3 linked regions of the Canis lupus familiaris genome follow. The protein of the gene in region 2 interacts with the protein of the main gene of each other region in a biochemical or structural test. Links are inferred from orthologs where the notes say so. Each region holds a gene or a part of one and is shown on either strand. Other genes may lie near its edges. The genes, in order: RANBP2, RANGAP1 and USPL1.

Region 1 (3,652 bases), about 11 Mb from region 2:
AACTGAGTCTCAAATGCTACTTCGTATCCACTCTGCCCATCACAAAATAAACTCATGAAAAATGAACTACTTAATATCAATCTTGGTATTGTGGTAATAACACTCTTAGGGATATCTACTCAGTCAATTTCTCCCATCCCCACAAAAATCCAACATACACATAAGGATGAACCTTTACAGTCCTCTATGTAGAACAAAATTCCTCCTCCTTTGGCCAAAGCTGATTAGTAAATAGACACCTATTTTCTAACCATGACACATTATTACCATTTGGTAAGAACATTCTAGTCTACTGCCATCAACAAAAGCAACTGAGCCAGAAGGAAAATAATGGAGATGCTCTTACCTGAGAGTCCTGAACTTTTTGAAATTCTGACTGAAAGTCTTCCCCATTTCCATTGTCCTCATCAGTATCACTGCAGACTCCACAAAAAAATGTAGGTGGAAGCTTTAACGTATCTGCTTTTGCCTTCTCTTCAACTGTTGGTTTCTTTTCCCAAACAATAACACATTCTTTTTCATTATCTGAAAATCCCACAGAATAAAAGCAAAAGAAAGTTATAGAAGTCCAACTACTCTCCAAAAGAGATCCTCAATACAATTTACAGATTACAGACCCAGATAGCAATACCTATGAATGCTAACGGAGAACAAGGATACCCATGAAAACAATGTTTTACACTTCATGTTATTTTCAAATATTTTAAATCACCCGTAGGAATAGTACATGAGTAAAACTGGTAATTATAAAAATGATCAGATTAGAAGATTCCTTTTAAACAGAAGATTTTTTTAAAAACACATTTTAACTAGAGTGGGATGCCTGAGTGGCTCAGTTGGTTAAGCATCCGATTCTTGATTTCGGCTCAGGGTTCTGAGATCAACACCTGCATCAGGCTCCGCACTGGGCATGGAGGCTGCTTAAGATTCTCTGTCTCCCTCTCCCTCTACTTCTCCACCCTCTTCTTTCTCTCTCTCCCTCTCATAAATAAATGTATAAAAATTATAAGTAATTTTAACTTAGCATAACTAGCAATTTTAATTTAACATACCTGTTAGCGTGCTCGCTTCGGCAGCACATATACTAAAAAACATACCTGTTAGCTTTTCTTCTAATGGTCTACATTTTTCTGAGTCATCCAGATAGAGTTTTCCATTAAGTTTCTTGACAGCTGTTTCGAAATCTTCATCTTAAATTATAATTGATTTTATTAAATAAAAAAAGTTTCTAGTAAGTTCCAGGAATTTTTCTAGCCACAAATCTAGAAATTATCCTCCAACTTCATACCTTCCCTTACTCCCCACACTGAAAAAACACCCAATTGTACCAATTCTATCTTCCTAATACCTCTCCTAACATTACAGAAATTTCATTCAGGCTCTCTTGTTTGAGCTACTCTATTATTTCAGTTCATCTTCCTGTCTCCATGTCCCACAACCCAATCCTTTACACTACTAAATTCAACTGGTCCTACTGAAACTTTCTGAACATGGTACGACCCTGGCTAAAAAATTCTGATATGGCTCACAAAGTTTTCCATAATCAAACACCCATCTGCCTCATTACTCTCTGATCCCTCTAAGTCTACAGGGAAATTAGGACTGTTTTCAATTCTCTCAAAAATGCCTGCTCAACTCATAGTAGGCATCCATAAAATCCTCACTTGGTAAGTGCAGTTGTTTCAATCATTACATCCATTGACTATTTATATACATATAGACAACTACCTACAAAGACAGCAGTGATGGGTTCTAAGAGGCAATCTTAAAAATGATTTAAATATACCCCCCAATTACTAAGACTAGCATGAAAAGAATGTTATGTGTTTAAAATAACAAAAGGCTTACCATCCTCTTCTTCACTAACATAATCTGGCTTATTCTTATAGCAGAAGAAAGTTGGAGGAAGTTTAAGTTTGCTTGCAAGAGCTTTTTGCTCAGGGGTGGGCGTTAACTCATATACAATGAAAACATCATCATCTGAGGAAGGATCTTCAGGTTTTTCCTTCTCTTTTGCTATAAAACAAGTCCAAAAAAATTATAAAGACAAGATATTACATAGGTATTAACATCAATATCCTAACTGAAAATAAAAACCATGGGACTTATCTTTAGGTTATAATATAGCATGGTGATGAAAACACCAATTGTGATGTAGACAGAGCTCTGTAAAGAATTATAAGCCTGACTTAACATTCTGTCAAAAACCCTTAATGAACAAGGAATCTATTTAAAACCAAAAAAATATTTCATTTACTCACTGATCAAGAAAAACTACTATTAATGGTTATAATTGTAAAAGGTATTTATAGAGTGTTGCCATAACCATATTTGGCATGCTAAACAATAGTTTAGCAAAATATCCATGCATTTGCAACAATGGAAAAAACTTACAGAAATCATGAGCATAGATTAGTATCAATACGAAACTAATGCAAAGCTAACCTTGATTAGTTCCTACAAGGAAAGTTAACAATTGTCAAGGATGGCGAGTGATCAGTTATACCAGTTTTGCATATTTCCAAGCAGATAACATATAAAACCAAATCAAAACCCACTGTTATCCTAGGGGTAAGTAATACTGTAGGAATCTAAGATCATTTTAATAGCTGAAAAACAACAAAAGCAAAACACAAAGAAAAAAAAGGGATTCTTCATATGATATGCTGTTGTCTATAAAGAAGAGTATCTGGCAAAGGGAACAGATAACAAATCATGTGCCAACTGGTGCTGTCCAAGATGGTACCTTAGTCACATGTGGCTATTAAAGCACTTAAAATGTGGCTAGTCCAAACTGAGTCCTACTCCAAGTATAAAAATACACTCTTGGGGCACCTGGGTGGCTCAGTCAGTTAACCGTCCAATTCTTGATTTTGGCTCAGGTCTTGATCTCCAGGTTGTAAGATTGAACCCTGCATGGGGCTCCACATTCAGTGTGCAGTCTGCTTGAGATTCTCTCTCTCCTCTCTATTTGCCCCTCCCATTTGTGAGCACACTTTTGCTAGCTCTCCCTCTTAAAAAAAAAAAAAAAATACACACTGGATTTTGAAGACTTTGTACAAAAACAAAAAACAAACAAAAAAAATATGAAATCTCTAATTTTTGTATTGATTAGAACTTGAAATGGTATTTCAGATATAACTGGATAGATTATTAAAATTAATTTCATCTGCTTCCTTTTTTCACTTTTTTTAAATTCTGTTTTTTAATGTGGCTATTAGAAAATTCTAAATTACATACACAGGTCATATTTGATCTGATCTAGAGAACTGGAGCCCTTTTACAAAGTTAAACTTTCCTTTTACTCTCCTTAAATAGAAAAACATGGTATCAATTACAATACTGTAAGATACAGATTCTTATTCCAAATCTGCTGTTAGCTAGTAAAGACAACTTGGGCACTTCAGATAGCCCAATCAGGCCTGTTTCCTCATGTCTATATCCTCCATCCCTAAGGTCCTTCGGGGCCCTGACATTCTTGGACTTGAAACAGAATAAGGCTCTTCATCCTACTGTACTATACTGGTAAATTTGCTCTTAGGCCAGGGATACATTTTTTTTTTAGGATTGTATTTATTTGACAGAGAAAGAGAGAGAGAGAGCAGAAGCAGGAGGAGCAGCAGAGAGGAAGAAGCAGGCTCTCTGCTGAGCA
Region 2 (4,138 bases):
GGATCATGCCCTGGGCTGAAGGCAGTGCTAAACCCCCTGAGCCACCCTGGCTGCCCTGTTTGTTTGTTTTTAACCTAGGTACTATGCCCATCCTGGAGCCCAGCATGGGGCTTGAACTTATGACCCTGATATCAAGTCCAGAGCTGAGATCAATAGTTGAACACTTAACCAACTGAGCCATCAGGTGCCCCTCTAACCAATCTGTTTTATTTTTATTTTTATTTTTATTTATTTATTTATTTTTGGACCAATCTGTTTTAAATCGCAACCCCCTCGGGGCACCTGAGTGGCTCAGTGGTTGAGCGTCTGCCTTTGGCTCAGGGCGTGATGCCAGGATCCCAACGTCCTGGGATCGAGTCCCACATCAGGCTTCCCACAGGGAGCCTGCTTCTCCCTCTGCCTACGTCTCTGCCTCTCTTTCTATGTCTCTCATGAATAAATAAAATCTTTATAAATAAATAAATCGCAACCCCCTTAAAACTCCTTACCCCCTTCTCCGTTTGTTTTTCTTATCACTTACACAAATAAGATTCCACATGTCTTATTTAGAACACATGTTTTAAGAGGTGCCCAGCTAGCTCATTTGGTAGAACATGTGACTCGATCTCAGAGTTGTGGGTTTGTGACCCATGTTGGGCATAGAGATTACTTAAAAAAATAAAATCTTAAAAAATAAATAAAAATAAAATCTTATAAAAAAGAGAGAGGGCAGTATTTTTGCTTCATTCACTGCTTGGTTCTGGTATCTAGAGCAACGTCCAGAACATAGTAATACCCAATAAATGTTTATTGAATGAATGAGTGGTGCCTTCTTATCTAGGAGAATAATTCATACATATTTGTAAAAATTGGCAAGCCAGGGTGATCAGGGTTAAGATAAGGAGAAGGAGGTGGGAGGCTGGCTATAGGAGCCCAGAGGAAGCCTGGGGGGAGTTGGAGGATTGGGGAGCCATCACAGTTGTATCTTGAGGACGAATAGATTGGGGAAGGACATGTTCTGGGTAAGGAGTTTTTGTGGGCCCTTCCTCGTTCTGTCTTCCATATCCATCATCCTTGGTCTCCCCTGATGACCTGCCATTTCCTCTTTAGGGAAATGGAGTGGTCTTTCTGCCAATCTGCCGAGTTCTTCCAGGCCAGAAGCTCCTTTCTTCAGCAGCTCTGCCCTTGGTCTATTGTGATGGTGGCTGTTGTGATGTAGAGACCTCTGGTCTCCTAGGAACCCCTGAGGTTTGGCCACCATGGATTGCCCAGTCTTCTGGCTAAGGTTGAAACCAGACGGGCAGTGGGCTGACACCTGTGCCCCATCCCCAGAGACATGCCAGCGTGGGAGGTGGGGCATTTCGCGGGATGGATAACCTGGATCCCTTAGCCATCCTAGTCCTGTTTGAGGAATGGGACCCTCAAACAGAGAGCAGCCAGGATGATCAGGCAGGTGTGTGCCTGGAGTAGGCTCTTTGCATTGCAGCTGTTGGTCTGGGCCCAACTACCATTCACTGGGAGCCCAGAAGATGGGCAGCTCAGATGGCTGTGCTTGGTGTTCCAGCTGGGGCCATTGGGGCAGGCGAGGAGTTAAAATAAGCTAGTAATCCTTCAGGGGCTAAAACATGATTTTACTACTCTTGCCACTTTCTCCACCTTTCTAGAATTGTTCCTTACCTAATAGTGTTTTCATTTCTCCCAGTAGTTTAGCTGTTGGAGTCTCCATGGAGGAGGGGGTGTTAAGCCCCTGAAAGGGCTGATGTCCTACCCGGCCCTCCCCAACCAGGGGGCCCCAGGAGACTCCTGTCTCTTAATGAAACTTCATCCTGCTCAGTTTGCAGATTTCCGGGGGAGCCCAGCAACGTGGCCAGCATGGCCTCTGAAGACATTGCCAAGCTAGCAGAGACACTTGCCAAAACCCAGGTGGCTGGGGGTCAGCTGAGTTTCAAGGGCAAGAGCCTCAAACTCAACACTGCGGAAGATGGTGAGTTCCTGCTTGGGCTGGCCCAGGGGAGGAAAGAGTGTGTGCCAATGACTCTTGTTCCAGCTTGTTTAGCTACATTATCACGTTGTTTGTTACCTAGTAGCTCTGTGAGATAGTTTTGGGTCCCTTTTAGAGTGAGGCTCAAAGATGTGCCCACAAGGACATATATAGGCTTCCCTGCTAGTCATCATGTTTTTGGAGGCCATCCTTGCTGGTGACAGCTTAGGTTGGCTGGTGGAAAGGGCCACTTTATGTCTTAGTGGGAGGAGATAGTAAACAACAAAGGATCACAACAGCAGTGTCAGGGTATAGTCCCTGACTTCTTACTTCCCACCTTTACCACTATGATCCCAGACTGGTTTTGGGAATACTGGTTGGCTTTCCCAGAGGTAAGGCCCTCTTGGGAGGTCTGGTCCGTGCAACTGAATGCCCCTGGAAGAGGGAGGGATGTTCTTGTCCTAGGAACCAGGACTGTAGGGAATTAGGAAGCAGAATGCAGGCCTTGTCTGTTCATCCCTGGCCAAAGCATGGCTAACACTGGTCAACCCTGAATCCCCTGACGTTTGGAAGTGAAGGCACCTACGCCAGCACTTGCAAGGACTCTTGAGGTTCTGGCCCAACCAGGGAAACTGGTATGGACTTGCCCGGTTGTCATGGATTGCAGGCAAGCTTGCTCACCTGCCCTGCCTCAGAAACTGGAGTTCTCAGGTTGTCAGGAGCATGGCAGTGCACATTCCTGATGTCTCTGAAGGGCCTTAACATTTACAGAGTCCCTCCCTGTGCTGTTATCACTTCCGATCACACGTCATCCCTGAGGGGGGGATGTAGAAATGTTACCATTTTATAAATAAGGAGAAGAGATTTGGAAGACCTAACTTGTCCAAGGTCATCTAGCTGGTAAGTAGCAGAGCTGGGATTTTAACAGAGGTCCAGCTAAGTCCCTATTCTTGTGTTTGTCAGTAGACAGCTCAGTTCAGTAAAGATGAATTTGCTTTTTTTTTTTTAAGATTTAAAAAAAAAAAAAAATATTATGTATTCATGAGAGAGAGAGAGAGAGAGAGAGGGAGAGAGGCAGAGACACAGGAGGAGGGAGAAGCAGGCTCTATGCCGGGAGCCGATGTGGGACTTGATCCCAGGGCCCCAGGATCGCGCCCCGGGCCAAAGGCAGGCGTTAAACCGCTGAGCCACCCAGGGATCCCCCTTTTTTTAAGATTTTATTTATTCACGAGAGACAGAGAGGGAGAGGGAGAGGCAGAGACACAGGTAGAGGGAGAAGCAGGCTCCATGCAAGGAGCTCGATGCTTGATGGGACTCGATCCTGGGATTCCAGGATCATGCCCTGGGCCAAAGGCAGGTGCTAAACCGCTCAGCCACCCAGGGATCCCCTGAATTTGCTATTAAATTCCATTCCCTGAATGCTGAGTCAGGCATTCTTTAAGTGCCTGACTTAAGGAAGTTTATCCTCACAAAAGTCCTTGAGGTAGGTCTCATCCCCATTTTGTAGATTGGAAAAGTGAAGCCCTGGGAAATAATAGGACTTGCCTAAGGGCACAGATACAGGTAATGGAGCTAGGATTAGAGCTCAAGCTTGTCTAGCTTTAAAATCTGTGCAGATCACTAATTAACCAGCTCAGGCTGGACATGTTGCCTCCATTTTCTTGGTCACCAGGGATGCCCAGCTTATAGCCCCGGCCTCTGAGGACCTCCTAAGATGGAGTAGGAAGGAGGTACTCAACTGCCAGGGGGTAGAAGGTGAAGCATACTCTGAGCAACGTGAACAGAAAGCTGTGGGAAATACGGCAAGGGAAAGGGATCATTTCTGGTTTAGGAGGGCCCCGGAAGTCCCCATGGATAAGGTGGTTGAACTGTCATTGTAGGGGAGAGGGCAGTAGACGCAGGGAGTATCATGTGAGGGGAGGAGCTGAGACACATAGGGTGGGCTTGGGCGAGAAGGAATCAGGGTGCCATAGGGAGCCCAGTGCAGACAGCCTTGAATGTAGTGTGGAGGAGTCTGGCAGCTGGACCCTGGGCCCAGAAAGGGCCTCCACCTTGGCTGGCAGTGAGCTGGCATAGTCAGGAGAGGGCAAGGCCTGTATGAGGAAGCCATGATGCTTGGAACAAGGCTCTTCTCTCCCCAGTAAGTCATTTAAGGACCAAGGAAAGGCCTTTCTGCTT
Region 3 (3,140 bases), on a different chromosome or scaffold from region 2:
TCCTGCCATCTTTTATAGGTAGAGAAGGAAAGTTGTATGGGGGGTAAGTTTACATTCCAAAGTACTCAACTGGTATAAGAAAACAGGTTTAGGGTCTTATATGATCACAGAATCATTACCAGTCACACATTCTGTATGCCATATACAAGGACTTAAGTTTGTACAAACTAGTGTTTTTCCTGAACCAGTGTAACCAAAATTTTTTTTTTTAAATTTTTATTTATTTATGATAGTCACAGAGAGAGAGAGAGAGAGAGGCAGAGACACAGGCAGAGGGAGAAGCAGGCTCCATGCACCGGGAGCCTGATGTGGGATTCGATCCCGGGTCTCCAGGATCGCGCCCTGGGCCAAAGGTAGGCGCCAAACCGCTGCGCCACCCAGGGATCCCCAGTGTAACCAAAATTAAAATGTAGAAATTTTATGTACCAGATTGTCAGAAACTAGATACTACTTTTCATTTGTAACATTCTGAAATCCTCATTCTACCACAAGACAAAAATGAGGCAAACAAGGAAAACAAATTCTCGATCATTTTAATTTATAAAATAGATGACATGCTTTGTGAGTAGAACCAAAGGTAAAATCTTCAGTAGCTTATATTTTGTTCATGACAAGGCCAGTGTGTAAACACTACTTAATAACATAGTAAGTTTTCCCAAGAGCAGTAATAAATATTAAACTAAAAAGAGGTAACATGCACTCAACAACTCTCAAACAGATATTCATCAAAATGAGGTAAGTCTGTGTCATTTGCTAAAGAATTTAATGCTGAAGTGGAAAAAAACTCATCAAAAATATCAGTCTTCATGGAACTTTCCAAGTTCAATGCCCTAATGCAGACATTAGTTGTCAGTGAGTCTGGCTGAACTTCACACTGATTTTTCTTGGTGGGGCTACAGTAATTATGGTCCTGTTTCAGATGTGTGTTTTGGGGAATATTGTTTAATTCAGTAGACACTGGTGCTGGGACGTTGTCATCTCCCATTTCTAAGTATCTAAAGTCTGCCTCCCCATTTTCTGAGTGCTCTGTTGAGACAACAGTTGCAGGAGACAATAATTCTGCTAAAATTTCTTCATGACTTTGACTACTGTATGGAAATCTGGTGCACCCGGATTTATTGTCAGCAGTATCAATTTGATACTGTAGTTCTTTTAACAAGTCTTCTATTGATTCACAATTGTTTCGAGACCCACAATGGGACACATGTTCTAATTTTTCACTTGGAAGTGTTCCTTTTTTGGGGGAAGACATAAGAGCAGCTAATTTCTTCTTTTTTGCCTTAAGTTTTTTAAGAAGTTTTAGACGAAGTTTATGAATCTGACCCTCAACAGAGTCTTCATGGTTTGCTGAAGAAATACCATTTTCTTTTATATAAGAATCGTGACTGCGGTGAGCTCCATATGAGGCATTTTCACATTTCTTCAAAACATCTGAATCAGCAATAACATTAGCAGCACATACATGAGAAGTCATGCTACCAGATGATGGACGGCTTGATAGAGAATTACTAACTGTAGGAGGTTTACTTGCACACCTATTAACTTTCCTAGAAGCCCGGTTAGCCTTTTGGTTTACGCCTTTTGTTTTAAAACCACCAAAATTACTTGCCCCCTTAACTGAAGGCTGCAAATCAGTTACAGTGTTTCTATTATGAGCTGAAACACAAGGTGGCATAAAAGAAGCACCCTTGCTTAATAAGCCTTTAACCCAACTTCCTACAAATGGTTTCTTCTGAGTTTCTTTCAGAGTTGGATTCTGTACTGGCTTCATTATCATGCTTTGAGAAAATGTTGCAGTTTCATTTTTCATCAAATTAGATACCTGAGTTGTAACAGGTTGTTCTGGTTTTAATTTCTCAGTTTTGGGTGAAAGAAATTGTTTTAATGGAGTGTCCTCTAGGGCAACCGTACCCTCAACTTCTATTGGCTTTATTCCATGTATAGGAGGATCAGTAGCATGAGTACTATTCACAGGTTTAGTAATTACGTCTTTTGTATTCATCTGTGCCAACTGCATGTTTGCATCTACAATTTGAGATGGAAAGCTTAAATCCATGACTTGGTCTTGAGTAAGCTTTTCAACACATGGAGCTGATAATAAAGAAGCCACTCGTGACTCTTGTGATTGCGAAGTATTTGTTTTGCAGACTCCTGCATTTTCTGCAACATGTTCATTTAGGAAATGTTCAGAGTTAATCTGTATTTCTTCAAGTGTCAAAGACAAAATATCACTGTCAACCAAATCTTCTGGACCTGAAAATAAATGATGTCCACAAGCTACAGCTTCACCCTGCGAGAGACTGCTAGGAGCAATTGCCACATCAGTGGGGAGAGTTCTTGAGGACGGCCCAGCAGTGGCAGTATCACCCACAGAACACGATGTTGGAGAGGCTGGTTTCTCATCACTGAAAGCAGGCTCATCATTACTCTTTTTAAGTGGAAGGCAGGCAGATGCTTTATCTGTCATTTGGGATGTTTTTCTTTCCCAAATAACAATATGTATCTCTGAACCAAGAACTTCAAATTTCTCACGTCTTTCAGAACGTAGGCCTTTTAGGTCATCACATTCAAGCCAACTTCCTAGGGGATGAGGAAGTAATAAGGTTAGACATTCAAAACTCACCAGCTTAGGTTCACTTTCTTCTGGCTTAGGTTCACTTTTCAGCTATATCCCTGAATATCCAGCAAAGGAGAACATTAGAGAACATGGTCTTATCCTTACGTCACCATTTTTCTCTGCCAAAGGCTAAAGTCTTATTTGGCTAATAAAAGTTACAGACTGGGACACCTGGGTGGCTCAACAGTTGAGTGTCTGCCTTTGGCTCAGGGAGGGATCGAGTCCCACATCTGGCTCCCTGCATGGAGCCTGCTTCTCCCTCTGCCTGTGTCTCTGCCTTTCTCTCTGTCTCTCTCATGAATAAATAAGGTCTTTAAAAAAAAAAATCACAGTATTATCACCCAATTTACCCAACAATATCAGAAAACTGATTAAGTTTTTCCTTTTACACGAATTTTCAAGATAAATGAAGCCTGTAACCTCAAGTACCAATATTTGCTTCAATTGTTAATTTAGTTCAATTCTTCTTTTCCTTTTTTTGGTTAGGAAAAAAACTAGAGGTTTTTAGGTGTTTGCTTATATT

The links.
Region 1: the proteins of RANGAP1 (region 2) and RANBP2 form a complex in vitro, tested with the Homo sapiens proteins (5 studies listed by BioGRID and IntAct, with this or other methods). The link is inferred for Canis lupus familiaris from reciprocal best matches to the Homo sapiens genes RANGAP1 and RANBP2.
Region 3: of the proteins of RANGAP1 (region 2) and USPL1, one has a biochemical effect on the other in vitro, tested with the Homo sapiens proteins (2 studies listed by BioGRID). The link is inferred for Canis lupus familiaris from reciprocal best matches to the Homo sapiens genes RANGAP1 and USPL1.

The regions. Positions count from the first base shown.
Region 1 is NC_049231.1:36,158,179-36,161,830, forward strand, and holds part of RANBP2 (E3 SUMO-protein ligase RanBP2), read right to left. Parts: intron 2,017-3,652; coding exon 1,849-2,016; intron 1,191-1,848; coding exon 1,098-1,190; intron 526-1,097; coding exon 347-525; intron 1-346. UniProt on the Homo sapiens protein: E3 SUMO-protein ligase which facilitates SUMO1 and SUMO2 conjugation by UBE2I. Involved in transport factor (Ran-GTP, karyopherin)-mediated protein import via the F-G repeat-containing domain which acts as a docking site for substrates.
Region 2 is NC_049231.1:24,911,722-24,915,859, forward strand, and holds the start of RANGAP1 (ran GTPase-activating protein 1), read left to right. Parts: upstream 1-1,237; 5' UTR 1,238-1,347; coding exon 1,348-1,432; intron 1,433-1,813; coding exon 1,814-1,963; intron 1,964-4,138. UniProt on the Homo sapiens protein: GTPase activator for RAN. Converts cytoplasmic GTP-bound RAN to GDP-bound RAN, which is essential for RAN-mediated nuclear import and export. Mediates dissociation of cargo from nuclear export complexes containing XPO1, RAN and RANBP2 after nuclear export.
Region 3 is NC_049246.1:9,453,197-9,456,336, forward strand, and holds the end of USPL1 (SUMO-specific isopeptidase USPL1), read right to left. Parts: intron 2,581-3,140; coding exon 701-2,580; 3' UTR 513-700; downstream 1-512. UniProt on the Homo sapiens protein: SUMO-specific isopeptidase involved in protein desumoylation. Specifically binds SUMO proteins with a higher affinity for SUMO2 and SUMO3 which it cleaves more efficiently. Also able to process full-length SUMO proteins to their mature forms.